4 linked regions of the Canis lupus familiaris genome follow. The protein of the gene in region 2 purifies or fractionates together with the protein of the main gene of each other region. This does not show direct contact. Links are inferred from orthologs where the notes say so. Each region holds a gene or a part of one and is shown on either strand. Other genes may lie near its edges. The genes, in order: SLC30A6, SLC30A5, METTL9 and CSGALNACT2.

Region 1 (8,071 bases), on a different chromosome or scaffold from region 2:
TTTAGCTCCAGACTACACACTTTTATTTTGAAATGGAATAGTTAATTTTGAACCAGAAAAGCAAACCATTTGCCATTTGCCAGATAGCTCTACTGGAAATAAAATAATTCAATTTACCTAATCAAAGCTTTATATATGAAAAGTTTGGAAACTATTATTTTAGAAAAATCTCTGAGGTTCTCTCTTAGGCAAAGTATCTGACATCCTGGATAGCCTCTTTAGTCCTTGCTAGTACACAGTACGGGACCAGCAGAGAAAGGGCATAACAGTGGGGTTACCACCAAGAGAAGAAACAGTGGAGACTAGAGAGTTATTTGCCACTCAAGTACGGGAAACTTTAGCTTTTATTAAAGGAGAGTTTAAGCACACATAGGATATTAGCTTATGATTAAGGCAGTATCCAACATCAGGAGGAGAAAATATGAGTTACCAATAAATGGTTTTGGAAAAGGTCAAGTTGAGATTCTCATTGTATTTCTTATTCTAGTTTTTTGTCATGTTAAAACTAAAATATAAAACTATAGAGTATTTGAAGAAATTTATGGATGTATAATTATATAATCTTGCAGATGGAGAAGACTTTTCATAACAGGACATAAAACCAAGAAGCTGTAAAGGGAAAAAAATTGATCAATTTTACTATCTTGGGAATATAATACCCAAAAAAAAAAAAAAAAAAAAAACAATCCTAGAGAGGAAAGATAAACTGGGAAAAAAAATTTTCAATTGTTATTCCAAAAGCAAAGTATTGTTTCTAGGGGAAAAAAATCTTTCACAATTTTCAGTGGGTCATATATAATAATTTGTTTGCTAAGCGCCATGCACTTACTTGTTTGGACTTTAATTTTAGCAAAATGCTTTCCTGACAGTAAGGCCACAATCACCATAACAGCCACACTACATTGCCACCTCACTATTGTTGGCCAATTTGACTTAAATACTTAAATTTCACAGAAAGCAGTGGAACTGAGTATTAACAGATTTAAAATGAGGGAAACTTTCAGATCCAACTCCAGCACAGGTATGATTTTCCTAGTTAGCTACTAGGACCATCTCAGTAGTTATTAAAAAAAAAAAAAAAAAGGTATATCCCATTTCTTCGAATCTCAGACATGTCATTAGTTACATTAGGTTGAGACTCAGAAAAGGCAGAAAACTAAGTTGAACACTAGAAATCACCATTAAAAACCAGATTGTTGATTAACTGAGGCCAAGGGGCCTACACGGGGGCTCATTATATTATATTCTACTTTTCTGTGTTTGAAAATCTCCACAATAAAAATTTTTTTAAGTAAAACACACTTAAAATATAAAGCATTAGAAAAAAGCGTTACTAATTTTGTTATCCAAATAAAGACTAGTGTATATGTAACTCTAAGTCTTTGCTAAACTAATTCAGCTGAAAAGGAACAATATTCTATTTTCATTTGAGATGCTAATGGTCATGTTAATGAAAATACCCTATTCTTAATGAATTATGTGTAGGATATTTGGTCCCAAGCACAAATTCTGCTCAACACTGTTATCCCTGGGTATCCTCTAACTTCATCCCACTTTATTTGTTAAAGTTTTGGGTTAAGACAGTGTTTTCTAAAAGGTAGAGGGCCATTTCTGATGCCATTCTGATATTGGTTAAAATAAAACCCCACAAAAATCCTAAAGTTCATGTCACTTTCCAAAATTATATTGGTCCCCCACTGCTATCATGATAAACTCTTAATTTTACAACCTGAAATCTAATGCTTTCAAGTGATTTAGCTTGTTTCTTTTCAGTTTTATCTCTTGCTCCAGATAGGGAATCAACTCCAACTAAACTGGTGTACCCCTCGTCTCATGATCATACTACTCAAGAGTGAAAAGGCCAGACTTGTCCAACCAAGCTCTAACAATCCTGTAATACTTAAGCAAATTACTTGACCTGTTTCCTCCTCCAAATGAGAGTAATGAACAGATTAAGAGTAATGGAGTAAAGTGTAAAGTACTGTTTCATGGCTGATCTTCTATGTGAAGCCTTCCTAGATTATTCCAAACTATACTGTTCTTTACCCTACTTGCTTTGCAAATTAGCCAGGATAGCCTGCATCTTGTCATCCTGCATTTTAAGTTAATTTTTTAGCAACTTCACTAATGACAAGGGCTATATTTTCTTTACATTTTCTAAGATAGCTTGTGTTTTGCACAGTAACACCTTAATAAACAAAACATGGGTGACTCATAAACCCTTTCTTCCCCAAAACTTCTAAAATAAACCTTAAATGCTACTATTTTTTTTTTTTGCATTATGGTTTCAAGCATAAAAATTTAGTGCCAGGGATCCCTGGGTGGCACAGCGGTTTGGCGCCTGCCTTTGGCCCAGGGCGCAATCCTGGAGACCCAGGATCGAATCCCACATCGGGCTCCCGGTGCATGGAGCCTGCTTCTCCCTCTGCCTGTGTCTCTGCCTCTCTCTCTCTCTCTCTGTATCTGTCATAAATAAATAAAATGTTTAAAAAAAAAATTTAGTGCCATAGCTATTTATTTGGTGTTTTAAAGACAGGTATTTATTGAAAACCTCCTCTGGGCCAGGAACTGTTACAAGGGTCTGGGAACACCAGCGTGAATACAGAGGTCCTGCTCTCAAAGAGCTTACAGTCTAGGAAATGAGGAAGACAAGTAAATACACAATTTTAACATAGTCTGGTAAGGGCTACAGATGTTACTGGTAATTAGCACTAATTACCATGGGAGCACAACAGAAGCACCTAATAGTATCTTGAGATATAGGAGAAAGTCTCATGAAAGAGACTAATGGACATATAAGGGTTATATTGATAAGGATGAGGGGTAGGAGACGATTGAATCCAGCAGATAGAATAGCATATACAAGTTAGGTGCAAAGGCCTAATCCTTAGAGCATCATCTGCAAGCTCTTCACTGTGACTGGAATATGAATGTATGTATGTGAAAAAAGAGGCTATAAAGAAGGTTTGCGCGCACACACACACACACACAAGACAGCAGCATTAGCAGCTTGACAACACATAGCTTTTGTGTGCCATACCATATAAGACTTTATCTTGAGGATTATGGCAGGGAAAGGATTGAAGCAAGGGGCGGGGGGGGGGGGGGGTGAGCAGGGAGTGACACAGTCCAATTTCAGAAATTTAATTCTGGCTGCACAGTGGTGAATATTTTGAAGAAAGTAGCTCGAAGGCTATTTGGACAGCCTCACCGACAGTAAACTTTTACCAACTTCCTGTGTGCAAAGGAGGGATTACAGGAAATTTACAATAGAAAAAGAAAGTATAAATAAGACCTTTTTGGGGGACCATTTCCACTCAAGGAAAAAACGTACTAGAGTGACAATGGCTTAGGCACTGACAAGTGGTGCTTCTCTCCTACGGAGGCTATCAAGAGATCCAAGAATTTTTCTGATAAAACGGTGTGTTCCTTTTTTTTTTTTTTTTGGTGTGTACCTTTTTTGACGTCAAGATTACAATCAACTTATCTTTCGATAAAATTCAGAGATATATATATTTGATTTGTAAAAGCATAAAAAAGACGAATTTCTCTTTTAAAAAAAAATCACATTCCCCCGAAACCGTAAGGTATATAGTGGGATCTGCAAACGCAGGGAAAAAACGTGCAATAAAGACGCTCTACCAACACCTGGACTCTCTGCAACCACCGGCCTTCTGAAAGTTGCTGCTGTATCAGGCTCCCTGGCGCTCCACTAAGCCAGGTTGCAGAGTGGGGCGTCCACCTCAACACCCCACTCATAACCCTCTTTATGAACAACGGTATCGTCACTGATGTAAGTAAGCATCACTAGTTACGGTCGCCGTTGGTTGGACTTGTTTTCAGAGCTTTTGCTGGTGCAGACGCCGGCGCCGGCAAAGACTTTAATTTCTGTATCAAGTATATATCTCGGCACGGGAAAGTGATAAACGCTAAGAACTGAAAGCTCGGCCGCGAGCAGAGCCGGGATGCCAAGCGCCTAAGGGACCTGGCGAGGGATCGCGGGGGGTTCGGAGCTCTGCGGGCAATGAACGCTTCGGACGTCAGCCGCTTCTCTTGCGGGGGCCCGAGCACGACTCCGAGGACCCCTCCTTTGGGCAGCTGAGGCATGTCAAGGCCGCTTCGGGATGCGAGAAGATAAGAGGCATCATCTACGACAGAAACCCTCAGACCCCCAGCCAACTCACCATGATAAGGAGCCGCACAGCTCCCGCCGGAAGACGCTCTGGGAGCTGGGGTTTTCCTAGAGCGGAAGGGGTGGGGCCTCGGAAGCCGATTGGCCGAGAGAGACCCGGGGGCGGAAGTGCGTGCGCCGACTCTCGTTTCCGCCCGCTCCCAGGCTACCCCTGCGTGCCATAGAGGCGAAGGCAGCAGCTAGAGCGGCCGCGCCCAGGCGCTTCCGGGGTACGTAGGTGGAGCCGAGGGAGCTGAAGACCCAGTCTTCAGGGAGCGCCTAGGTTCTCTTTGTAACGTTAGGAAAAATCTCACTTAGTGCTGAAGCGCTTTTACTTGTGGGGTAGAATTTTTTTTTGCAGTGCTTTGTGAAATAGTATTCCCGTTTGAGGAACCAGGCCGAATAAGAAACTTGCCCAGAGGCGTATACATCCGGTTCTCCGTTAATAGCCGAATTGGAACTCAGACCAGTGTAGACAGTACTGTGTTCTGTTTCCCAAAGCGCTGATTTCTCGTGAAATTAATTTTAGGGAACTAATATTGTAGAACACGGGAAATAAAAAGATTCTGTGTAGAATACGCAGCGCGTGTGTGCATCAGGCACTAGTCAGGGAGACGAAACAAGGAGGGAGGGGGAATAAGTGTTTACAGTATGGAGAGTGTCGTGTAGACAATAGAGTGACTGGGTCGCTGATTTATAGTAGTCCGAGAAAGCTGCTCTAAGGAAGTGAAATGGGACTTCTGAGTGACCAGTCTTTTTGCGAAGATCATTCCAGGCGGGATAGACCATCCAAATAAAACAAGCAGTAGGTGTCCGAGGGTCCGAAAGAAGGCAGTGTCTGGAGCCTTGGGCTTGAGGGCAAGAAGCCAAGAGATCTAAACGGTAAATGGGCAGACCGAGCAGGAATTTCTAATTTAGGGGTAAGGAGGCTGGTTCGGTTTTTGTTTTGCCTTCTAAGGGATACGGGAAGCCCACGGAGCGTTTTAAGGAGGCGGTGAGCTTTACGCGGTGGCTGGAGAACGGGTCGTCGCTGGGCAGGAATTGCCAACCAAGCACTCCCATGGTAGGCACTGTTCTGAGAGGTTAGCATGCATTAGCCAGACCCTTCTTAGTGGGATTGAAACCTCGAACTCGATTCCCCTGGCAGCTTCCATCTCTCCACAGCTCGTTAGACTCCCCAACTATGGCTTTCTGTTAGGTTCCTTTGAATATTACTCTGCACGGATACGATTTTGGAGTTCACCAAGGATTTGAAAGAAATCTGTAGGCATATTCTGGGGCTTTTATCTCTGAAATGCTTAAGATTTCCTTCCTGATTTTCAGCTGTTTTACAAGCCCCAAGTGACTCTTTAGCCCAAAAAGACTATTAGGTTCTGCTTGAAGTCTCTTTCTAAGCACCTTGCACACACTGGAAGTTACCCTTGGGGTAAAAGCTAGTTAATGTGGATCTCTTCTAGGACATGGTTTTGTGCAGTTTCTGCCTGGTTTTGCTTGCTCCCTAGAGTCTTCTAATCTTTGCTTTTTATATTTTGTTCACTTTATAATTATTATGGGCAAGAGTTAGTCCAATACAAGCTACTCCTTCACTGCTAGACTGCAGCCTCTGAAACCTCAAAAAGTTTCAAATAAAAATAATTAAAGGCAAAATAAAATCTACCATTTATTTCCAATCCATTAGGATAAAAATCCACTTTATGCAGCTGAACCCTTTAATTCATTTTTTTTTCTTCTGAAGAAAAAATACAAAAGACCAGATTAAAATTTGAGATAAGCACTTCAAGGAAATTCTTTTTCTGACTCGAGTCCAAAGCCAAACTAAATGGTTCATTCTACCAAAAGAATTAGTTTCTGTACAAAATATAAAGAATTTTACCCTATAAATAGACTGCTGTATATTTACTTAAATTGGAATTCTCGTATCTGCTTTTCCTTCACTTCTTCCTAAGCACAAAGCATGGTCAGAAACCTAACAACCTCAATGGGCAGACTGTCTTAGAATAAACTTTTACCATTATCTGGGAAAGATAGTACTGATTCTTTCCTTTGGCTCAAAGTAAGTTTTAATATAGTTTACAAAACACTGCCATATTAAAGTGAGCACACTAACTTTTAATGTTTAAGCATTACTTTTTAAGAAGTTAATATGACAGTTCAACACAGAATCCAAAAGGTCACAAACGAAGTCTAATATTCAGAAAGCCTCGCCAACTTCTATCTTTATTGAAAAAAAGAAAAAAAAAAACAGACGAATCCCTTTGCCTCCAATTATATCATTACCTTATTTTCATGGTTATTCTATGAGGAGAAAAAAAAAAACAGCTTAAAGTGAAAATAAAATAAAAAGTAAGCCATAGAAAATACTTCTCTATCACTAAGCTCAACTTCAGACTTTGGTCAGGAAAGTAAAAGAACTTCTATACTGTATGGATGGTTATTCATACAGTAATATATAATTGTGATTCAGTGTTTATGAGAATATTAGCTTGACTTTTCTATTTTTTAACATTTGAAATCTTTGTTATCTAAAAACTATGCCAATAAAAAGTGAGCTACATTACTGCAGATAGAATGATTTTAAATATCATATTTTAAAAGTTGAGCATGAAGCACACAGACCCTTAATATGACTGACCAGTTATTCAAGTTTCATTAATGTTAATCCTTTTCTAAATGAAAATACAAAGTGAAATTTTATGAGCTTTACTGAAAATGTTTTAACTTTGGATATTCCCAATTCTTGTCATCATGTATACTGTATGATCTTTCATTATCAATATTTTATGATTGATGCTGTAATGTTTGAGACCTTAAAAAGATACAACATGTGATTGAAAATAGGCATGGTTCTGGCTTAAAAATTTTTCTTTTCTATTTATCTCAACCCTCATTTCTGTTATCTAGGGAGTTCTAAGTTCATGATTAGAGGAGACATTTGAGTTACAGCTACAAATAGCACATTATCTTAAGAAACCAATACATCTATATGTAGATTAAATCTTTAACAAGAACAAGAATAAAATTAAAAAGAATGTATGTCTTCATTATAAAATTCTTATTTAGCTGGGGCAAGTTTTTAATTTTAATGTATTCCCTCAAAACCAAAGATATTTTTCTTAAATGAAAAAATCTTTGTTACTATTATAAAATTATTCTTTCCACCCATGACATTTTACATAAAAGCACCAAAGAAAATTTCTGTAAACAAACTTTTAACCAGTAAACTAAGGGCAAATATCCATTTGCCTTTATTACAATATTTAAAAAGCCATGATATGAGTCTACTTCCTACAATGACAGTTTTATAATAAAATCCAGGCATACTTATACAAACAAGAAATGGAATTACTATACATTTTTGGGGAACAAAAGACAGATTAACAGACTAACTTTTTAGTTAACAAAGTGAGCACAAGAAACCTATAAAATGTATGCAATGTATAAAAATTCAGTAATTTTTTAAAGTTTCATTGAAGGGGGATTAATAATTATTAAGAATAAAAGATGGTAGATCCACTGGCTTATAATTATCCTGTAAACAGTAAGAAAGCAATAAGCAATAAATTAGAAATGTCTTATCTCTCAGTTCTTCCCTTCTCTCACACAGGACCACTTTTACAGCAGTTAAGATTGGCCTTTTTAAATATTAGAATCATTCTAGCAGAAAATAAATTCCATTAGGAATAAATTAACAGTCTACAATAAATTTCTGACATATATTAGAAAAAAATACTGCAGGTCACATGAGGATTGATCTACATCTTGTAATGACAGAGTGACTCAAACCTCCTAACTGTCTCTATTTTACAAGATTTGCTTTTTTGCTATCAACAAATTGCTTTCTAAATTGGTAGCAAGGTAATAGAAAAATGTGAAGTGAAATGCAATTGTTTAATGTCTGGA
Region 2 (7,326 bases):
CTAAACCACTGAGCCACCCCGGCTGTCCCCCAACTTTCCTGTTAAATATATATACTTATTTTCCTCTACAGACATACATGCCTTGTGCTCGGTTCAGCAGCACATAGACAGACATGCCTGTTCTTTTCTGTCCACACACCTCTTCCCACTCCATTTAGCTGACCTTGGAACACCAGTTCTAATTCCTGCTGTTACACTATCTGAAAGCCCATCAGTTAACTAATAACAGTGGGACTGCATCTCTAAGCTGCCTTCTTTGCTGAGGCTTACGTGGGCAGGACTTAGATTCAGGACTGATTTGAGATGTTCTGAAAAAGCCTTAGTTCCATGACAGTAATGGTCCAAGAAGTTTCCTTCCTCTGGTCCCTTTGTCCTGCTTACAACTGTACGCATACACTTTTGTCGGTTAACTACTAAAATTTAACAACTGTATCTTAAAGCACTATTATAATTGTTTTGGAGACAACAAAAGAAATACAGGCCATTCTAATTTATAAATCATGTCCCAGAATTAAATTTTTAATTGTTTTGTTTTTAAGGACAATAAATAATAAATTTAAGGGCAACCTCAAGTAAACAGGTTTGGGACCCCCAAACTAGCCTATAATAATGTAGCTAAAATTTTAGGAGAACTTAAGGATTCAAAGAGTTAATATTTGGGATTTTTTTTTCCTTTATTGCAACTCACTTAGCTGAAGGACATCATGACAGTGCTCTAACTCACATGCTTTACACAGCCATTGCCTTCTTAGGTGTGGCGGATCACAAGGTATGTTCTTTTCTTTGTTCCTAGAATGATCAAGAGTAGCAAAAAAAAAAAAAAAAAAAGAGTAGCAACTATAACTTTAAAAGTTCTCTTAAGTTCGCAAATCGAACTCCAATAAAAAACTATATATTAAAAAAATAAAATAAGTTACCAGTAATTTACAGAACTGCGTGATACTTAAGTGGTTTAGTAATTTGGGATATGGAAGAAACATAATAGCTCCATTTTCTCCAAATATTATGTATTTAAGGATCGCATATTGGACTGTGTGTTTCTAATGAAACTTCTCTCATTTTACTCATAGGGTGGAGTGTTGTTGCTAGTACTGGCTTTGTGTTGTAAAGTTGGTTTTCATACAGCTTCCAGAAAACTCTCTATAGATGTTGGTGGAGCCAAACGTCTTCAAGCTTTATCCCATCTTATTTCTGTGCTTCTCTTGTGTCCATGGGTCATTGTTCTTTCTGTGACAACTGAGGTAAGAGGAATTTATCGGTAATAAGTAAAATGAATTGCTGTTACTTAAAAATTTTAGTTAACTACATTGTATTATACTTCACTTTAAGCTTGCAAGTATCTTAAATTATCTTGGCATTTTTTGTAATTGTTGAAAAATTTGGGAAGTAAATTTTATTGTTTAGAAAACAAATCAAGTACTATTACATTTATATTTCCATTCCTGTGGCCCAAAGAAATCTGTTCAAGAAACTCTTGATTTATGGGCAGCCCCGGTGGCCCAGTGGTTTAGCACCACCTTCGGCCTGGGGTGTGATCCTGGAGACCCGGGATCGAGTCCCACATTGGGCTTCCCTGCATGGAGCCTGCTTCTCCCTCTGCCTGCCTGTGTCTCTGCCTGTCTCTCTCTCTCTCAGGAATAAATAAATAAAATCTTAAAAAAAAAAAAAAGAAAGAAAGAAATTGATTTATTTAGTTTTTTTTTTTTTTTTTTTTACTTAGATTTTATTTATTTTAGAGAGAATGAGCAAGCAGGGTGAAGAGCAGAGGGAAAGGGACAAGCGTACTCCATGCTGAGCCTGATGCAAGGCTCCCATCTCACACCTTAAGGTCATGGCCTGAGCCAAAATTAAGAGTCAGACGGTAACCAAGTGAGCCTCCCAGGCGCCCCTAAGAAAACCATTTAATATATACCATGTGTTACAGACAAGGATTGTGGGTCATCTGGTATTTATATAATTATTAAATCATAGTACTTTTATTTTTTAATACTTTGGGGATAACCGGGAAATGCACTAATATCCTACAGCTCTTATGTTTTGGCATCTTATGAATCATTGAATTAGAACATTTGTTTATCTATAAAGGGATTAACTAAAATGTAAGATGTGAACTTTATTCCTGTGCACTACTAACTATTTTTTTTTCTTTTTTTTAATTTCTAGAGTAAAGTCGAGTCTTGGTTTTCTCTCATTATGCCTTTCACAACAGTTATCTTTTTTGTCATGATCCTGGATTTCTATGTTGATTCTATTTGTTCTGTCAAAATGGAAGTTTCCAAATGTGCCCGCTATGGATCTTTTCCCATTTTTATTAGTGCTCTACTTTTTGGAAATTTTTGGACACATCCAATAACAGACCAGCTTCGAGCTATGAACAAAGCAGCACACCAGGAAAGCACTGAACATGTCCTGTCTGGAGGAGTGGTAGTGAGCGCTATATTCTTCATTTTGTGTGAGCATTTTTCCTTAGGAAATTTAATCTCATGCATTTTGATGTTGAAATTATTTAATTTGGGAATTTCTTCAGTGCTTGTGTTTAGTGCTGACAGATACTGTGTTGGTTTTGGTAGGTTAAGCTTATAAAACTTTTGTAACTTTGTTGTTTTTTTCCCTTTTTTAAAAGCTGCCAACATCTTATCATCTCCTTCCAAGAGAGGACAGAAAGGTACCCTAATTGGATATTCTCCTGAAGGAACACCTCTTTATAACTTCATGGGTGATGCTTTCCAGCATAGTTCCCAATCGATCCCTAGGTTTATTAAGGAATCACTAAAACAAATTCTTGAGGAGAATGACTCTAGGCAGATCTTTTACTTCTTGTGTTTGAATCTGGTAAGATTTTTTATATATTAGTGACATCTTAACAGCTTAAACTTTTAATTTTGACAGTTCTGGTATAATTTTAGTGATTCCCAAATTTCTGATAGAGAGGGGCTAAAATTACATTTTCTCTCAGCGATGGGAAGATTTCAGGATTATATTCAACCTATTAAAAAAATGTTTACTTAGCAAACAATTTTTGAGGCATTTTAGATGCATTAGTTTAGTGTGCTATTTCAAATCAGTAAATATAGTAGCCTATAAAATCTTTATCTGCTTCTCATAGGATCTCACTATAGACTGGATGGATTGCTAACATTTTATATCCTAGTTTATTGAGTTCTACAGACATATAAATGAAACTATCTCCTTTTAAAGAATTTGTAAGATGAACATATTTGATTGAGCTTAATAGCTTGCAGTATATATGAAATGAAATTAAGTGTCACTTAATCTTCAAGTAAGGTTTGCATAATAGTTAAAATTCTCATGATTAAGTCCTGATAAATCTCTTGAAATGATATTTCCTAACACATTCCTCCCCTGTTTTTCTTTAAATTTATTTTAGCTTTTTACCTTTGTGGAATTATTCTATGGCGTGTTGACCAATAGTCTGGGTCTGATCTCAGATGGATTTCACATGCTCTTTGACTGCTCTGCTTTGGTCATGGGACTTTTTGCAGCCCTGATGAGTAGATGGAAAGCAACTCGGATTTTCTCCTATGGGTAGGGACACCGACCATCAAAGTGATATAACACAATGAAAAAATCCTAAGGACAGATTCCATCTTAGGGAATAAAATTTTATTACTTTTATTACAAATAATTTTTTAGAACTTTATTTTAAGGTGGCTATGCATGAAATATCCTTTCATTAACTGAATAATCAGTTTAACAGATATTAGAATCTTTGATTTGTACACAGAATTTTGATAAGACCTACCCTAAATAGATTTATAAACTTAGTTCTTTTCAACTGTTAATATTTTGAAAGACCAGTAAGCCAAAAATACAAATAATTTTGATGTAAAGCAGAATCTGTGGGCTGTGACAGAGATCAAAAGCTCATCAAGGGCTTAAAGAGAAGGAACTTCTTGTTAAGAAATTAGGAAAGGGTTTATGTAGGACTTTGATAAATATTTTAAATTGCAACAAATTTAAGTACAGAAAGACTCTTGCAGCATTAGTGTAGTGTTTAGGATCTTGGTTATCTTCTGATCGTATTTATGTACGTAGTTGAAAAATCTGAACTTAGTATACTCTTATGTAACATAATATTTATACTTTTAAAATATTTGTCATTTTTTTTTCTAAAAATATATTCTACATTTTTAGGTATGGCCGAATAGAAATTCTCTCTGGATTTATTAATGGACTTTTTCTAATGGTAATAGCTTTTTTCGTGTTTGTGGAGTCAGTGGCTAGATTAATTGATCCTCCGGAATTAGACACACACATGTTAACAGTAAGTCCTTATTTTCCTGTTTGAATTTCTCTTCATATCCCCTATCGCCTTTTCCATGCTAAAGTTTAACTCTCTATAGTTATTGATCTAGGAAGGTTTTATTTTATTTTTTAATGTAAATTAACATCTTATATTTACATTTATACTGCTCTTAGAAATTAATCCTTTTCTCTAATATTTTCGTAGTAAGACAGTTAGATGACGATCTAAACCATACGGATTTCTTTCTGACTTATCAGATGCTTTTGTTTTTTTTTTTTGTTTTTTTTTTTGTTTTTTTTTTTTTAAAGATTTTATTTATTTATTCATGATAGTCACAGAGAGAGAGAGAGGCAGAGACACAGGCAGAGGGAGAAGCAGGCTCCATGCACCGGGAGCCCGATGTGGGATTCGATCCCGGGTCTCCAGGATCGCGCCCTGGGCCAAAGGCAGGCGCCAAACCGCTGCGCCACCCAGGGATCCCTCAAATGCTTTTGTGTGGGACACCTGGGTGGCTCAGTCAGTTAAGCAGCATTCAGCTTAGGTCATGGTCTCAGGGTCCTGAGTTCCAGCCCCCATGTCAGAGCTCCCTGCTCAGCGGGGAGTCTCCTGCTCCCTCTCCCTCTTCTGCTCCCCTTGATTGTGCTCTCTTGCTTGTGCACACACACTCTCTCTCAAATAGATGAATAAAATCTTTTAAAAATAATAAATAAATGTTTTTGTGTGAAGATGTGCTTTTTAAATACCTGAGGAAATTTACAAAATGTTAAAGATAGAATCATAAAAATATTATCATTTTAATGATAATTACCCTGTAGATTGTATTTCTGCTATAGCAGTCTGTAATGTTTTCCCTGTATTTCCAAACCTTTGCATGTGCTATTTCTTGTAGTTGGCCTGCCTTTCCCTCACACCTGCCTTTCAGCCTTCATCAGGACTTTGCCGATATGTCTCTGCTAGTGAGATACTTTCCATTAATCCCTTTCTTCCCTCTCCAGAGTTTGGAAGATTTCCCTTTCATACTATTTCCCTTGTGTCTTGCTTTTTCTCTTTTTTTTTTTTTAAGTAACATTGAGGTATAACTCCTCTGTCATTCTTCTACAGTTAAAGATGTAAGTGATCTCTTCACGACCTAAATTGTCTATCATTAACTCAAATTCTAGCATCTGGCTTATAGTAGGAAATCAGCAATTAATTGTTGAATAATTACAAGTAATTAGGAATCTGGTTGGTGGAAGCATGTTATCAGTAAAATGCTTTAGATTATAGTTTAGAAATTTATTTTGAATTTTAAATGCTTACATCCTTGACCTTTAATATTTATTACAAAAATACTTGCCAAAAAATATATATTTGCACAGATGCATAAAGGTGCATGATTCATTGTGTCACTGTTCATTATGGTGAAAAAAATGTCCTAAAGAAAAGACTAGTTAAATCTGTCATTCATAGAATACCATGCAACCAATAAAAAGAATGGAGCTTATCTATATATACTGGCATAAAAAGTACTTAAGAACTGTAGTTTTTAAAAATTCCAAAGCAATACTATAATGTGATGTGTTTTAAAAGGTTTTTATATATGTAGTTTAGTATTTGCATAGAAAATACGCCATTGTTTAAGTGACTAATTCTTGGGGGTTGGATTACAGGGGACTTGGCACTATCTACATGAAGTATTTGTTTAGAGGAGAAATATTTGAGATGATGGGGCCTCTATGCAGTATTTGATTTAATTCAAAATTCATTAACCATCTTCAAGTTCATAAAGCTAACTAAAGGGATCCCTGGGTGGTTTAAGCGCCTGCCTTCAGCCCAGGTCGTGATCCTAGAGTCCCAGGATCAAGTCCCACATCCTGCTCCCTGTGTGCAGCCTGCTTCTCCCTCTGCCTGTGTCTCTGCCTCTCTCCCTCTGTGTCTCTCATGAATAAATAAATAAAATCTTTAAAAACATAAAAAACTAAAATTTTAAACTCTGACAGACAAATGTTCTGAACCTCAGTAAGAAGGGTAAATCTCTTGTTTTACATCTTTGGAAATTAATTAGAATTATCTGTCCCCATTATTTTTATATATTCTTTTTATAAATCAAATGGGTTTCTCTAAAGGAGAAATTGTAATGTTTGTAAATTAAGTAACACCCTGAACCAACTATCCAAAATCATTTTATAAGAGAGGATAATTAAGAGTAAGTAACTTTGTTTATCCTTCAAGATGTTATTGTGGCATTATTAAATCAAGATAATGCCGTTCACTAAAAAATAAAGGTGAGGGACCCCTGGGTGGCTTAGCAGTTGAGCGTCTGCCTTCAGCTCAGGGCGTGATCCCGGGGTCCTGGAATTGAGTCCCACATTGGGCTCCCCACAGGGAGCCTTCTTCTCCCTCTGCCTGTGTGTCTGCCTTTCTCTGTGTCTCTCATGAATAAATAAAATGTTTTAAAAAAAAAAAAAAGTGAGGGCAGCCCGGATGGCTCAGAGGTTTAGCGCTGCCTTCAGCCCAGGGACCTGGGATCGAGTCCCACGTCGGGCTCCCTGCATGGAGTCTGCTTCTCCCTCTACTCCCCACCCCCCATCTCTCTCACAAATAAGTAAAATCTTTTTTTAAAAATAAATAATTTTAAAAAGTGAAAGATTACTATTACATGTTTGTTTTTCCATTATACTTTCTTTTTCCTTTGGGAAATTTTACTATATTTAACAAACAATAAGGTAAGTATTTGGAATTGACTAGTTAGTAAATTATAGTCATTGTCTTACAAACAGAAATTTATCTGGTAATATAAATGAGATTTCAGTTACAGTGCATACTTGGTCTACTAAGCAATACTTAAAAATTCTATTTAAATAAACAAAAGAGGGACGCCTGGGTGAGCCTTTGCCTTTAGCTCATGGCGTGATCCTTGAGTCTCAGGATCGAGTTCCGCATTGGGCTCCCTGCGTGGAGCCTGCTTCTCCCTCTGCCTGGTCTCTGCGTCTCTGGTGAAATAAATAAAATAGGGGATCCCTGGGTGGTGCAGCGGTTTGGCACCTGCCTTTGGCCCAGGGCGCGATCCTGGAGACCCG
Region 3 (7,326 bases), on a different chromosome or scaffold from region 2:
AAATGTTTCCTAGCATGGATACAGTGTGAACTTCCTTCTGCTAGTTCCTGAGGTTGTATCTTGGAGAAGTTGGTTTTAAGTTTGTGAGCATCCTGTTTCAGGCCAATTACAAGCCCAAGTGTGTGCTCAGAAGGTGCCTAGGCAGTGCAAGTCAGATCAGATAGCCCCAACTCGGTGCATCGTCTTCCAGCTGAAATATGGAGGCACTTGCTGGAAGCTCATTTGGGGGGATTTGGCCGTCTGCACAAACATGGTGGATCACTTCAGCCACTGAAAATCCATGTTGAATATGTGCTGTAGTTATTAGAAAAAAGGATCATGAAACACTTCTATCAGTAATCAAGTAGTAGGAAGCAAGTGATGAAAACATCTATCTTCAGGACGAGTCTATTTAAACACTGTCCTCAGATCTAAGTGAAAATAAAGCTTTAATCAGAAAGATGACTTCAAACAACTAAGTTTTACTTTGTCCCAGCCCAGCTTCTTTGCTGTTAAAAAGTCAACTAAGTAAAAACTGGTAAGACATACAGAAAGGTAAAATACACCATCACTTTTAACTACTCTGCACAAGGGAGAAATGACTGAAGGTATTGTTACCTTCTCTCCTCTTCTCTGTAACAGTGGCCCTAACACTCAAGGGGCTCACACTGCAGGTGCAAGGAGCTGTCAATCACAGGTGCAGCTTGCCTTTCCTCTGCCCCTGACCTTCAAGATCAATAGGTTAACTTGCTTTGTCCACAAATAGAGCTCTTCTTAATTTCTCTAGCACAACCTTGAACCTGATATGAAGCACTTACACGAGGAATGGTGCAGACAAGAAGGCAACTTTATTGTACTTTGGGGAAAAAAAAAACAGGATTCCATTTAGGAAAAAAAAAAAAAAAAGCCATTGACAGTCAGTAAGCAACACTGCCACCTAGTGGAGTGGCGACAGGCCACAAAGACTTTCAAGACCAGGTATCAAATGTGCTAGGATTTGTTGTTCAAATTTTCATTCTAAAACAGAACTGTTAAGATATTGGTTTTCAGAGAACCTCCGATTTTGAGAAACTATTTGTGTCTCTGAAATGCATAAATGAATGTATTTTCTGGGGGTTTTTTTTTGGGGGGGGGGATAAGAAGAGAGATTTTTGGTGTTTTTTTTTTTTTAACAGACCATCCTATTCATTCTTGATTTCAAAATTATGAAACACTTTGCATCAACTGCCTCTTTGAACATCCATTACTCTTGCACTCTTGTTCAACAGTCTAAACAGCAAGATTATGACAATTTATAAAGAAACAAACTCAGCTGTGAAAGAACTACATTAAGTTTACTCATTTCCTCTATTTTTATAATCTAGGGTGCTAAGTATTTGAATCCCTGGAAAAAAAGCACTAGAATGCACCAATAACAATTTTGCATAAATCACATAACCCAACTCTTCTTATGACAACACATAACAGTGGAAGATATTGGTGTGAGGATGTGGGGATGCTGTTCTTAATGAATAATAAAGTAACTCTTTTCAAGGCTTTAATTCTCCTTTATACCCAGGTGTTGCAGTAAATGTGTTGACTTGATGACTTCTATGAGCATATAAATGAGAATACTTAATGAAACACCTGGCTGAAAAAAGAAATAAAGTCATGAGAATAACATATTGTTAATAACCACGATTTTAAATCCGTGTCTCTGTTATTATTGAGATTTTAGATTCTGGGTTAAGTGCTCTACTCTCTTTGGAATATGCACAATGGTTATTGATCTTGCTAATGAGTTCCTCTATTGCAACATTTGTGGGTATATGGTTGGAGGCACTCAAGGATTCTAGAATGTAGGAGTCTAACATGGTCTTCATCAATCCATATTCTTGGCAAATAAACTCAGTTAAGGATTTCGGGAAGAACCAGGTTCTGGGAAAGAGGTATACATGTGTAGAGTAAGAAGGGGAATTAAAACATTTTTAGGCTGCGTTTTATCAGCAGACACAACGGAATGGTTCAATTATGAGAACCTGAGGGATCCCTGGGTGGCGCAGCGGTTTAGCGCCTGCCTTTGGCCCAGGGCGCGATCCTGGAGACACGGGATCGAATCCCACGCCGGGCTCCCGGTGCATGGAGCCTGCTTCTCCCTCTGCCTGTGTCTCTGCCTCTGTGTGTGTGTGTGTGTGTGTGTGACTATCATAAATAAAAAAAAGAATAAAAAAAAATTATGAGAACCTGAGATTGTCCAGAAAAACAGAATTCTGAGTCTAGTGTGGAAGCTATCACAAAGTCAGAAGCCAGTGTTTTGCACTTCCCAAAGCAACATAAAATGGGAGTGGGAGATGGTCCCTGAAGTATTAGATCTGAATGAGGTTGCTCTTTCAAGGGTTAGTCTAGACTGCCTCAGTGTTCACCACAATTTCAATAATCCCCCAGCCCCTCACCCAGTCGGAAGCCTTTATCACATAGTCAACTGTACTTTTCACCTAATGCTACTATGTGGGCACTCTTGAAGCCAAAGCAATAAAAGATCCTAGGGGAGCCTTATATTAACTCAAACATGATGCCAGAGTCATCTCCAAAAAAGTTTATTAGCATGATTAAAAACATTTTTTGAATAATGACAGAATTTCTAAACATGAAAGAGTATCAGTGGCTATACCTTGTAACCAAATATTTGCAACTGAATGGACAGCTTTATTGCCAGTCTTCATTTTATTAAAAACAATCCATATTTATTGGTTCCATGTGAAGTCGTGACTATTGCTTTGACTGGGGATGAGTCCCTACTGCAATTAAGTATAAAAAATATCTTCCATACTTGGAGTGTGACCTGTATTACTGAGTAAAGAGTTGATAAAAATCCTCAAAGAGTTGGGTTTTGTTTTTTAAAAACATTCCTTTTACACACTACAAAGAAATAATTAGTATTTTGGCTTTTTAAATTCCTACATGATATTTAGAATGGCAGTCCCCAAAGGTCCTCCCTTCACATAACCGCAAACGCAGACCCTCTTCTGGAGTGTACATTCTTGGGGTGGGCTCTGAAGACTTGGGCCTCCACGTGTCTATACTGGTTTGAGAACAAAGACAGCATCATCCAGAACGTAGTAGTCATTATACATGTCACCTTCACACAGGTATGGTAGTCTGGTGAAAGCTTCAATAACAAAACCAGCTTTTCTGAAAACTTCAGGCAGACTATTCACTTGTTCTTCCCAATTCTGTCCCTTGATTTCTAAAATTTCTGATGGTTTCTCCCACTTGCCACCTACTAAAACAAATAGAAACATTAAGTTAAATTCTTGAACAAACAAGTTACTTAAAGAGAGAAGGGAGGAAGAACAACATTTGCCAAGGACTTGGTATGTGCCAAGCACCGGGGACTTTGATGAATCATCTTCCTCATATCCCCGAGGTAAGAGGACAGAAATGAAGTATGGACCCAGAGGGCTGAGGATTCACCCAAGCCTACAAGGTTAGTGAGGGTAAGAGCAGAAATGCATTCCCAGGTTTGTCTGGATCCAAAACTTATAGTTTTACCATCTTTGACAGTTTCAGATATTACCCTTCATTAGACCAAATGGGTTGTAATAGTTCATGGTTTTAGTGAACTCCTCATTAAACACAGGAATATGAAAGCAGAGAGTTACCCATAAAATGTGAAAGAAAGGTTAGGGATAAATGCAAGAAAATACACCCGAGATATAGTAAATGTATGCAATGTATTAACTAGAAAGATTTATCAGGCCGAAAACAGACTAATGAGGCTTTTAATTTATAACGACAGATCATCGATGTGTTTTTCAAGTGAAGTTGAGCTACTCCCTAACTTTTCATAACACTTTTATACAAGTTAAGCTCCAAAACCAAAGAGAGAGAGAGAGAGCGCGCACTAGAACGGATGTGTCGGCCTGGCATTTCTTGGACTAGTGGCTGAAATCTGTCCCGGTCATTTGCAAGCCTAGGAGAGCATTCAGATGCTTAAGGAGTGGGGATGGGGTGGCTGGATAAAGTCTTCAGGTTCACACCAAGCATTGGCTACAGACACACAGACACACACAGATGATGGTATATGTCAATTCTAGGTTGTTTGTATATACTGTGATGTTTTTTAAAATGCACACATATTAAGTATATTACTAAATTCAGACAGAGAGTAACTTTCTGTGAGAAAATGCATGATATGTGCCAAGAGTACAAAGACACCCGGCACCTGAACCCTCTTCCTAGAGTCCTATGGCAGTCAAAGCCTGGGGAAGTAGCTTTCCCCTCTATTCCTATGGTGAAGGCACCGGCACATGACTTAAGTTCAGAACACTCGCCTGGGACACAGACTGAAGACCTAGTGACCCAGACAAGAGGGACGTAGGCTCCTTCTCTGGGAGGGCAGAGCAGTGGCCATGACACTAAGCAGCTGGGGCAGCATCAAGTGTTATGAACAATAGAGTGCAGTCTGTGCCATGGTCCCTAGTGCTCGGCAGCAGGAGTACACTTTTCAGATCAGTTTTACAGCATGTTTTTCTGAGGTGTTTTTCTTGGCTCTAGACCCTACGCATGATTCTCCAATCCTCCCATGACTGTGTGAGCTACCCTTGAATCCTTTCAATCAATTTCCTTTCACTGAAATCAGCCAGAGTCTGTTTCTGCTGCTTCCAAGGAAGAACCCGACTGATGAGGCCTCCGTGGGGCAGGAGAGGGAGGAGGAGGGAACTTCAACAGAGGGCCCACTCTTGGTCTCAAAGACACATTAGAAAGGGGTTACACAAATCTGAGGTACAGCTAGTTAATGTCACATAGCATTTCTTCATTATACCACGATGTATTGTTCATTAATTTTTCTCTTCTCTCTACATGAAAACACTTCCTTCTGCTTCCAGTGTGACTGGCCCAGCACTGAGCACACAGTAGGTACCCCAGGATCAGTGACCAAAATACTCTGGAAATTTAAAGGAACAATTTATCTGTCAAACAATACTCTCTCCTGGGAATAAAGACTACATGTAAATCAAAATCTCCCTCAAAATGTCTACAAATTCAAGAAACAATTTACCATATGCACATTTAGAAATGTACCCTATACTAAAATCTCAACTCTAAATGGTGAAACTGGGTTACAAACAATCTTTTACACAATTTCAAAAAGTTCCCGGTTATGGTTCCTTAATAAGAGTTCCTCTCTTCAGTTCTTCTTTTCTAAAGAGACAGAAAAAAAAGAGCTCACTCTCTTCAAATGCATACTGCCCACCACCGCACACGCACACCCCAAGAAATGGAGACTGTGAAGGGAAGCAGGATCGTTCTTGGCCTGGAAATCAATCTGATTCTCTTTTATGTCGGTAAGGTTCTTTCTTTTCTCTTCCATTTTATCTAATCAATTGCTATTCCTCACCTAATACATTTATATTTTAAGCCCCTACAGATTAATTTTGAAATGTCTAACACTATAGAAATGGTCTTCTTCCCCCAGACAAATAAGTAATAAAAGAATAGCTGAAAAAAAGTTTCAGATTTTTTTAAAAGATTTCATTTATTTATTCATGAGAGACACAGAGAGAGAGGCAGAGACACAGGCAGAGAGAGAAGCAGGCGCCATGCAGGGAGCCCAATGTGGGACTCGATCCCGGGTCTCCAGGATCAGACCCTGGGCTGAAGGCGGCACTAAACCGCTGAGCCACCCAGGCTGCCCAAAAGTTTCAGATTAACCTTGAAAATTCCCTTTGCTGCTTTAGAGAAGAGGACCTCACCAAACAAAGGGTTGAAAATGTTCTTAAAATTGCATGTGCTAGTCATCAACAATGTCGTTTCCATATAGGCAAACTCACACTGCACTTGATAGGCACTATGCAATACTTGCTGAATATTTTCAAAGAACAAGGTTTCTGAAAATCCAGATTTCTGTAAATTAAAAAGTACTTGTCATTAAAAAAGAAATGCTGCCATGGCTCCTTCTATAGAGCATAACCATCCCATAATAGATATACTTTTAAAATTCTGCTTATATTGATTTTTTTTCTCTATGAAAAAGAAAGTGGGGGGATTCCTGGGTGGCTCAGTGGTTGAGCATCTGCCTTTGGCTCTGGGTGTGATCCCGATCCGGGGATCAAGTCCTGCGTCAGGCTCCCTGTGAGGAGCCTGCTTCTCTCTCTGCCTGTGTCTCTGCCTCTCTCTCTGTCTCTCATGAATAAAGAAATGAAAATTATTTTAAAAAATAAAGAAAAAGAAAGTGGTTCTAATAATCTATCTCATCATAGCTGTAATAAAGCTAATAATCTCAAACTTGTTCACAAAGTCTGGGTCATAGGACAGGGAAGGTAGAAAAAGGTCTTAAAATAATTTTTTTCTCATCTGCAAAGAAATATATCAAAATGTTAACAATGGTTATTTGGGCACGAGGACCATGGGTGAATTCAGTAATATTCTGATTTTTTTTTCTCATCTGTTTATATGACTTTCATAAACTATTTTCATTAGTATTATTTTAAAGAAGAATCCTTATCTTTTAAAGATATAGTCTGACAGATGTGAAAAGAGAATATCTGAGATTTACCCTAAAATCATGTGGGAATGCTTCACAGATGGGGGGAGAGGAGAGACAAGACTGGGACATGGAGCAGCAGGGAGTTCACCAAGCTACCCATACTTCTGTGTATGCTTGAAATTCTCCAAGAAAAGTGTCAAAAATCAGTTTTCTATTTATCCAGCTTGGATCTAGCTTGGATCACAGTAAAGTGATTTTGGAGCAGGAGGTGCTGAGGGATAAAGCAAATCAAGAGTCGGGTGCTTAATCCATTGAGCCACTCAGGCACCCCTAAAGTCATCTTTTTTGTTATTTCCTCCACCAAAAAGATAAACTTTCAACCTTTTCAGAGGGTACCACATTGGAGGGAAAAAAAGAAAAGAAAAAAAAAAAGAATCCTCTAAGATATGAGATATCTTATCTCATATCTCCTATTTTTTTTTATGTCTGGAGTTATCTCCAAAAAATTTTCTGAAGATTTTATTTATTTATTCATGAGAAACAGAGAGAGAGAGAGAGAGAGCTCATAGAGACATAAGCAGAGGGAGAAGCAGGCTCCCTGCTGAGCAGGGAACCCAATGCAGAACTCAATCCCAGGACCCCAGGATCACGACCTGAGCTAAAGGCAGACACTCAGCCACTGAGCCACCCAGGCGTCCCAGGATGAGAATTCTTAAAGAGAAATTCTTACAGGACTAGGCTTGGTGTGACCCATTATCCACACTTCTCCCTTTTGCAAAGAGGCTGTCATTGGTGCAGGGGAGGGGCAGCAGTTTCCTCACCAGTCAGCACTCTCAAAAGAAATCATCAAGGGCTCTTTTCCGACACTCAGACTAACC
Region 4 (8,017 bases), on a different chromosome or scaffold from region 2:
ATGGCAACCTCACCAATTTCTGATAGATTCAGGTGCTACTCTTTCTGCATTAAACCCTGCCACTTTTGCTCAGTCTTTTCCTAGGAGTAAACATATGGCAGATGGTGAGCATTTTAAATAACCCACAATTTTCTCTATTTCCCAGACCATAACTATGAGCCTTGAGCCGTTGATTGCAAAACATTCCTTCCTGCTCTGTGACATTGTCTCTTCAAAGGTAACAGGGAGAAACTTACTTTGCAATACTAAATGCACGCCAGAGTACTTGGGACTATTTGTGAGATTCCATAGGATCCCTTTACTCAGAAGCAAGCTGATTCTGCTCTGGATTCTCCATTATATTTGATACACACCCCCAGATAATTTTCTTACCTGGGGGTGTGTATCAAATATACCTGACACTTTCTGGGCTAAAAATTCTACTGTAATGGAATAAGAATAATTGGAGTAGAATCTATTAAAGTTTAGAGAGAACCTACCAAACCATTACCCAAACTTCTCCAATATCCCTTGAAACCAAAAGCAAAGGAAGGGATTAAATCTATAGTTGAAGTCTTATATCCAAAGATCTTCTTGTACCCTACCCTTGTAATATGCCCATCCTGGCAGTAAAGAATGGCCTCAGGGCCATTCACAAAATTGTTATTCCCCATTCTCTGGCCCATATACCATCCTGTGAGCCACTTGCTGAAGACACTGGCTGTAGTGAATCTTTGCTCGCTTTTTTCAATGTGCTTCTAGAACAGGACAGTCAATAACTTTTTGTACATATTAATAGCAAATTTCCACAACATAAACCCTACAATTTTAACCATTAAGTATACAGTTCAGTGGTATGAAGTACATTTACATTGTTCTACATAGCCATCGCCACTATCCAGCTCCAGAACTTTTTCCTCATCCCACATTGAAACTCTTCCCCCATAAATACTAACTCCCCACTTTACCTTCTCCTGGCCCCTGGCAACCAACATTCTACTTTCTGCCTCTATGAATTTGACTGCTCTATGTAACTCATATGAATGGACTCACATACTATTTGTCTTTTGAATATGTGTTTGAATGACGACAGTACCTTTCTTACCTTCACCTGGGGAAGATAACTGTCCTTCAGGATGGTCATGCCCCAAGGGTTCACCGAAGTATCCTACTATTTTTCTCAAGTTGTTAATCAAGATCTAAATGATCTAATTTTAATTAAATGAAAAGGAAAAATGAAAAAAAATTAAATTATCTAATTTAAGTTATCTAAATTTCCCTTGTGATTGTTAGGACACCATATGTAGATGATCTCCTACTCTACTCAGAGAAAAAAGGATTCCATTTACTTATTCTCAGCCTTAGAAGAAGGTCATAATATTTCAAAAGACAAATTGCCATTTTGCCAAAATACAGTCTATTATTTAGGATGTGGTTCAACTAGAAGCAGAAAACATTCTCTTCTGATAGACTAAAACCTACTCAAATCTATGGTAGCTCCTTCACAAAATCACATCTGAGAGGATTTAAAGGTTTATTTATTTATTTTTAAGGATTTTATTTATTCATGAAAGACACACAGAGGGAGAGAGAGAGAGAGAGAAAGAGAGAGAGAGAGAGAGAGAAGCAGAAACATAGGCAGAAGATGAAGCAGGCTCCTCGCAGGGAACCCAATGTGGGACTCAATTCTGGACCCTGGGATCATGCCCTGAGCCAAAGGCAGATGCTCAACTGCTGAGGTATCCAGGGATCCCAGGATTTAAAGGTTCCACTAGATTTTTCAGCCCCATTGTTGCTAAATTTTTCTGTGATTTTTATACCTCTTTATGAACTAAGTTCTTAGTAAGAGATTCTCTCCTCTGGGAGCCCCAAAATGAACAGGCTTTCTGGAACCTGAAGGTGGCTCCTCAGTGACCTCTTTCCCTAGACATCTGAAACAACAGAAGGCCCTTCTGTCTATTTGTGCATGAGCAATCTGGACAAGACCTTGGAGTTTCACGGGAACCATCCAAAACCCATCACTTACTACCTAGCCTTCCCTTGACATGCTATATGCCCCTAGTGTTAGGGCAGGTGTTCTGCTGCAAAATTTGTGGATGCTTCTGCCGAGCTAGTTCCAGGCTCCTCGCTTGACCTCATGATCCTTCCTGAAGTAGAGACATTACTATTGACTGGAAACAGCACTTCTCAGCCAGCTGCTTAACATCTTATGAAATTCTATTACTCTCTCCCTCTCAGGTACTACTTACTGCTACAATACCCTGAATCCAGACATTCTGCTTCTCTTAGCAGAAGAAGGGGAGCCTAGTGATCATTTTACCTCAGATAATTTGGGAACTCTCTGTACCTTACTCACATGTATTATAGTCTCATATTGAGAACCCTGAACTAATCCTGTTTGCTGATGGATCATTCTCGAAGCTGGAAGATATCAAGCAGCATGTACTATCATTAATTGAAGGTCTCCTTTAGAATTTAGTCCTCTCCTGAGGTAAAATCAGTCAAAATGGCAGAAGGTGTTGCATTTACTACAGCTTGTTAACTAGCCAAAGACTAGAGGGTAAACATATAATATAGACAGGAAATATGTTTTTGGGGTGCCACACAACTTTGGGATGCTAGAACCCCCACAAAAATGGACAAGTTAAGCAACTTTTAGATGCATTCTATTTACTACAAAGGTGACTACTATGAAGGTCGAGAACCATGCAAAAAGAGACAACAATATTGAAGCTAAAGGCAACGCTCTGCAGATCATGATGCCAAACAACTAAATTTTCTCCCTGAAACTATTCATGGAGCACAAATTGATTACTACCTTAAATTGACACTGGAGAAGCTGTAAAGGGACAGCTGCATTGTTCTAAATTTCATGTGGGTAAGTCATGGTGTGTGCCAATCCTAATACTGTCCTTGGATCAGTGACACAGGGAAGGTGGGGCAGGCTCTACAGTGCCTTACGGGTAAAAGCTACTTGCTCTGTAAAACTGACCCTCAGGACCTGTATGGAATTTATTCTTGGGCCTGGGTTAGGATTCTGGGTTCAAAGCATCTGACAGGGGTTATTAATTGTTCTCATTCTTATTTATGTCATAGGGGTAGTAATACTGGTCCACTGCATTCTATCCAGGGTCTGAAATGCTTCTGCACAGCTACTTTCCTCATCAGATGATCCTCATGGTGATACAACAGAAAGGCTGAAAAGACTTCATGATACAGTTGGCCTTGTAGAGGACTGAACAATCAATCTCAAAGTGGTGAAGATCTGGATTTCTTTTTTTTTTTTTTTTTTTAAGATCTGGATTTCTAGACTTCCCTAAATTCACCAACTTCTCACAAGCAAGAAAATGATCAGAAAGGAAGACTGAGAGACAATATGCAGACATACAATGACCAGACCACATGTAAACTGAGAAGCCCTGACCCATACCTCTGTAGGAACTGGCCCAGAATGGTCGGGGCTTGGTCTATGACTGCCACGTTCCCCACTTTTGCTATTTCCAAATCAGAACCAATCAGAGAGAGCCAAATATGTTCCCAAAGCAAATCTCATAAGATGCCCGACTTCTAGGTAGCCTACCTTCCGCTTCCCCCTGCCAACAACTTCCAAGCACAACGTGCCTGAAGCCTCTCTCCCTCACCCCCTTTTTTACTGTAAAGCTTTTCCCTCCTCTGCCTGCGTTCGAGTTTCTGTCAAAACCAACTGATGGTGGTTGACTCTCTTACTATAGCAAGTTCAGAATAAATAACCTCTGCTTGTTCTCATTTGGATGGTCTTTACTTATTTCCATGAAACTTAAGATTATAGATAATTGGGGTCCTCTGAAAAAAATACAATTTTCTACCACAATGCTTTTTTTAAAAAAATATTTTATTTATTCATGAGAGACACAGAGAGAGAGAGAGGCAGAGGGAGAAGCAGGCTCCCCAAGGGGAGCCTGATGTGGGACTTTATCCCAGAACCCCGGAATCATGACCTGAGCCAAAGGTGGATGCTCAACCACTGAGTCACCCAAGTCCCCCACACAATACTTCTTTTACTTCAATGACTATCTCATGAAAGACCAGAATCCTTCCATCCTCTGTATCACTCCTTTTCTTAAAAATCTGATAATCTTTTCTTTCCACACATTAGGAAGTCCCCCAAACCCTTGGCATGCACCTGACCTGCCAGGCCCTGTGGCCACAGACCCTCCAGGGAAATTTCCTCTTTAAAGCTCCCAGGATGGGGATCCCTGGGTGGCTCAGCGGTTTGGCGCCTGCCTTTGGCCCAGGGCGTGATCCTGGAGTCCCGGGATTGAGTCCCACGTCAGGCTCCTGGCATGAAGCCTGCTTCTCCCTCTGCCTCTCTCTCTCTGTGTGTGTCTAAAATAAATAAATAAATCTTTAAAATAAATAAATAAATAAATAAATAAATAAATAAATAAATAAATAAATAAATAAAAAATAAAGCTCCCAGGAGGCACAACATGTGAAGCATGTCATAGGCCCTTGGTGAAAGAAGCATCTGAGGACAGGGGCTGTGACACAGGCACCATGTGGGCTCCCTACAGTCCTCTGGGCAAAGTCCCTTGCCTCAGGGAGTAAGAGGCAGCCTTGCGTTCTTCCTTCTTCCAGTCTAGACCCTTCCCAAACCATAGGAATGACTTTACTCCACAGGGGAAATGACATGTGCAGAAAAGGACTGGCATGGAGGTGAGAGACAAGAGCAGCCAAAAAACATATGGTTTATTCTGGTACTGTTTACAAAACTGACCAAGATTAAAAGAAACGGGGACACTTAAAATGAACTTCACATTTTTATTCATGAAATTGATCATTTTCATGGTAAATATTATGTTTATGAAATATCAAAATGATTTCCTTCTCAAAAAGTTACTTTTGTGTTTTGTTTTGTTTTTTAGTTTTGGAATGTACTTACCTTGCTTCTCATGCTAACTTTGAACTTGAATTGCTGTGTCCTCTGAATGGATGCAGGGTTATGGTGCCTCCCGGTGTGGAACAGAACTCCTGAAGTCATGGTGGTTGGGTTGGAGTGGTCTTGGGTTGTGACTCCTTCCATGCTGCCTGGCCCAGTTCCTTGTGACACTGATGTTTCTGCAGTCACCAAGTTCCTGTAGATGGCTTCCCTGTCACAACTCTGGGCCAGGCTCACATTGAGAGATGTCGGTTGGCCAGGTCCTGTGATTTAGCACATCCCACAAAACATCTGCAAAATTATCTCATTACTTGACATAGCCATCAAAACCTGAGTTGCAAAGATTAACCATGATTTCTTTTGGGCATTGATAGTGCATACCTCTTTGACTCTGGGTGTGATGCTCACTCTTGCTGCTGTTACACTGCCCCCCCCCCCCCCCGCCCCATCCAGCCTTGGCTGCAGAATGGATAGGTGCTCCAAATTGAAAAATTCTCTACATAGAGGTTCTGATTTTTTGTGATGTCAGCTAAGAACAGTTCCTGTGAATCCCTAGAGTTCTAACAAGGCCATCAAGGTTGCTGCCTGTGGAGAAGAGATGAGAGAACAGAACAGGCAGACTGTTTTCTGCACAAGGACAAGAGCAGAGGATAAGGTCTGTGAATATCTTCATGCTGAAGGGATGAGGAAGCTCCTCCACCACTACGCATGCCCTTCAGACCACCATGTCTTTCCAGAGCCACAGAGTTAGGGATTTCTCAGGCATCATCTAGAACCACCCTAAATGCCACCTGCTAAATATCTTATACATGAATATGCCCAAGGGAGGAGAGGAAACCATTCACTGGGGGAAATGATGCTTTATTTATACTGGGGAAGATTATGCTTTCCCTTTGAATTTTCTATTACATATAAAGTATTTGTCCAAGCCCCATTCTCAGGCATTATATTCAACTAAATTTCCACTCTTAAAATAAGCTGCCCTTATGGTAGAAAAGCATCATTTGTGGAAATTGGTGGAGAAATGTGCTTTTTAAGACAAATAAACCAAACATACAAACACTACTAATGGAAGTTCAATGCTCTTGAAAAAGGGGGCTTTTAGTATTTTAGTATTAGCTTTTCTCAGCATGGGTTTCTAAACGGTCAGAGGAAAAGACTGTAACATATCGCTCACCCTAGAAATTACGTTTACTTCCAGCCCCTGTGATTCAGATTGAAGGGGGACGTCAAGAGTGGACATGGGTGCTGAGGCCAGAAGCCAGAGCTCCGAGGGCCAGGGGCAGTCTGTCCAGGTATGTGTGTGTGTGTGTGTGTGTGTGTGTGTGTGCACGTGTGTAATGACATAGGCTTTTGGCATTTCACGACACACTCAGAAATCAGATTTATATTGGTAACAACTTGTGTTTGCCAACTGACCTATCTGCTCCCTGCCAGGCATTTGAGGAGGAGTTCAGAGAATGCATGCATAACCCAGCAGAAAGACTTGGTCTTTTAAGCTTATGGTAGTTCAGGGCAAAAGTTTATCACTGACTGTACCAGACTTTCAGTTATGGCTATGCATTTTGCATCCCTTCTTGCACATCTGTCTAATGGCAGCTTTAAGAAATCAGCCCCATTTGCTAGAGAACCGCAAACACCTGAACTCGATGTGGCTGTTGCTCTCTTTCAGGGAAAGAAACACAAAGGAAAGAATGGTGGAACTAGCTGCACTTTAACAGTTCCCATAATGTGCCTAGTCACCTACATATTGTTCAAGATAAGTCAATGACCAAGCACCTCCTAGTTCTTTGAGCACTGTCACTTCCCCAGGGGTTACCATGACAGATCTCCTTGTGGTATTTCAATCCTTACACATTGAAACTTCAAAATCAGAAACCTGATGTTTCCAACTGGGAAGTTAAAAAGAGAAAAGAAGTTTACACATTTTACGATAGATGATTTTATTCACATAATTGAAATTATTTCCTTAGTCACCTTGTTACAAAAGCAAATTAACAATGGTATGGTTTAGTAACCTTTCATAAATAGATTTTACAAATTTTAATAACTGACAGATTGCTACTTAATGCTCAGTAATACTTAATACTTGGTAACTTCAGTGTATATGCATATGAAAATAGTCTGCTAGGACCAGTAAGTATGAGTGCTTTTAAAACTCAGGAATAGACATTAGATAACTGGTCAAGGGTTAAGACCTGGAGCTTTCACCCTGCCAGGAACAAACCCACTGTGGCAACTCGCACCTGTTGAGTAGGTATCTTTTAACAATTTGAAGAGTTTATCCTTTTTTCTGCATTTAATAAGACTGTCATTAACCACATCTGAAAACCAAAAGTTTACCACAACTAGATTATTTGTAAAAGAACTTATCACAGTGTGTCTGAAAAGTGGCCTAAACTAAAGCCACGTTACAGCGTGTTTTTCCAGCTCTCTGCGGGTTTGTGTGCACACGCATACACACACATACTATGAGGCTCTGCTACATACTCATCCAAGCTACAAAAATGCCCTAATTTTACTGCTTTTGTGAAACGCCTATGAGATACAGCGTTTGGATGAGACACTGTCAGTCCTTTACAGTGCTTTAAGTCTGAAGGCCAGGCAGCGTGTTGGGAACTGACCCTCTCCCTAGAAGTTACAGTCAGAAGAGCAGCTGGGGACTTCCCGAAAGCCACCCCCACAGATGGGAGGAGTACTGAGTGTCTGTGACCACAAACAAGCAGTGAAGAATGTCAAGAAGCTTATGAGTCATGGTCAGAATCTAATAAACAGGAATGTCTCACTATAGCAGCATTAACTTACAAAGACAGAAAGAGTGGATACACGTACCTTTTCACACAAGCTCTATGAGAGCCAAAACATTGTCTTTTCCACATCAGAACTGTAATCAGAGGGTAGCAGTCCTTGGTCATTGTCAATGTTACTTCTAACATAACTAGCTGAACTGTCCTTTTTAAGCTGAGCACTAACCCCACCCACTACTCCTAATGTATGAGACGAGCCACTGCTTTCTGGCGCTGGACATGTGGTGCATGAAGGCTGGCAGCAGTGGGATTCACAGCAGCCAAGTCTCAGCTGTCAGCAATCCTTGGACTGGAGGCCACTCCACTCAAATGC

What was found.
Region 1: the proteins of SLC30A5 (region 2) and SLC30A6 purify together in Homo sapiens (co-immunoprecipitation; 5 studies listed by BioGRID and IntAct, with this or other methods). This does not show direct contact. The link is inferred for Canis lupus familiaris from reciprocal best matches to the Homo sapiens genes SLC30A5 and SLC30A6.
Region 3: the proteins of SLC30A5 (region 2) and METTL9 purify together in Homo sapiens (co-immunoprecipitation; 3 studies listed by BioGRID and IntAct, with this or other methods). This does not show direct contact. The link is inferred for Canis lupus familiaris from reciprocal best matches to the Homo sapiens genes SLC30A5 and METTL9.
Region 4: the proteins of SLC30A5 (region 2) and CSGALNACT2 purify together in Homo sapiens (co-immunoprecipitation; 3 studies listed by BioGRID and IntAct, counting the BioPlex papers as one, with this or other methods). This does not show direct contact. The link is inferred for Canis lupus familiaris from reciprocal best matches to the Homo sapiens genes SLC30A5 and CSGALNACT2.

The regions. Positions count from the first base shown.
Region 1 is NC_049238.1:25,480,914-25,488,984, reverse strand, and holds the start of SLC30A6 (zinc transporter 6), read right to left. Parts: upstream 4,309-8,071; 5' UTR 4,188-4,308; coding exon 4,185-4,187; exon of another isoform or gene 3,760-4,184; coding exon of another isoform or gene 3,649-3,759; exon of another isoform or gene 3,647-3,648; intron 1-3,646. UniProt on the Homo sapiens protein: Has probably no intrinsic transporter activity but together with SLC30A5 forms a functional zinc ion:proton antiporter heterodimer, mediating zinc entry into the lumen of organelles along the secretory pathway.
Region 2 is NC_049223.1:53,460,251-53,467,576, forward strand, and holds part of SLC30A5 (zinc transporter 5), read left to right. Parts: intron 1-692; coding exon 693-769; intron 770-1,070; coding exon 1,071-1,241; intron 1,242-2,163; coding exon 2,164-2,452; intron 2,453-2,623; coding exon 2,624-2,832; intron 2,833-3,388; coding exon 3,389-3,546; intron 3,547-4,155; coding exon 4,156-4,285; intron 4,286-7,326. UniProt on the Homo sapiens protein: Together with SLC30A6 forms a functional proton-coupled zinc ion antiporter mediating zinc entry into the lumen of organelles along the secretory pathway.
Region 3 is NC_049227.1:23,419,169-23,426,494, forward strand, and holds the end of METTL9 (methyltransferase-like protein 9), read right to left. Parts: intron 5,307-7,326; coding exon of another isoform or gene 5,201-5,306; exon of another isoform or gene 5,150-5,200; intron 3,242-5,149; coding exon 3,036-3,241; 3' UTR 2,540-3,035; downstream 1-2,539. Other genes in the region: IGSF6 (immunoglobulin superfamily member 6), read left to right, coding at 5,201-5,306. UniProt on the Homo sapiens protein: Protein-histidine N-methyltransferase that specifically catalyzes 1-methylhistidine (pros-methylhistidine) methylation of target proteins.
Region 4 is NC_049249.1:4,092,369-4,100,385, forward strand, and holds the start of CSGALNACT2 (chondroitin sulfate N-acetylgalactosaminyltransferase 2), read right to left. Parts: upstream 5,359-8,017; 5' UTR 5,279-5,358; exon of another isoform or gene 5,189-5,278; 5' UTR 4,901-5,188; intron 3,745-4,900; exon of another isoform or gene 3,076-3,744; intron 2,858-3,075; exon of another isoform or gene 2,661-2,857; intron 1-2,660. UniProt on the Homo sapiens protein: Transfers 1,4-N-acetylgalactosamine (GalNAc) from UDP-GalNAc to the non-reducing end of glucuronic acid (GlcUA). Required for addition of the first GalNAc to the core tetrasaccharide linker and for elongation of chondroitin chains.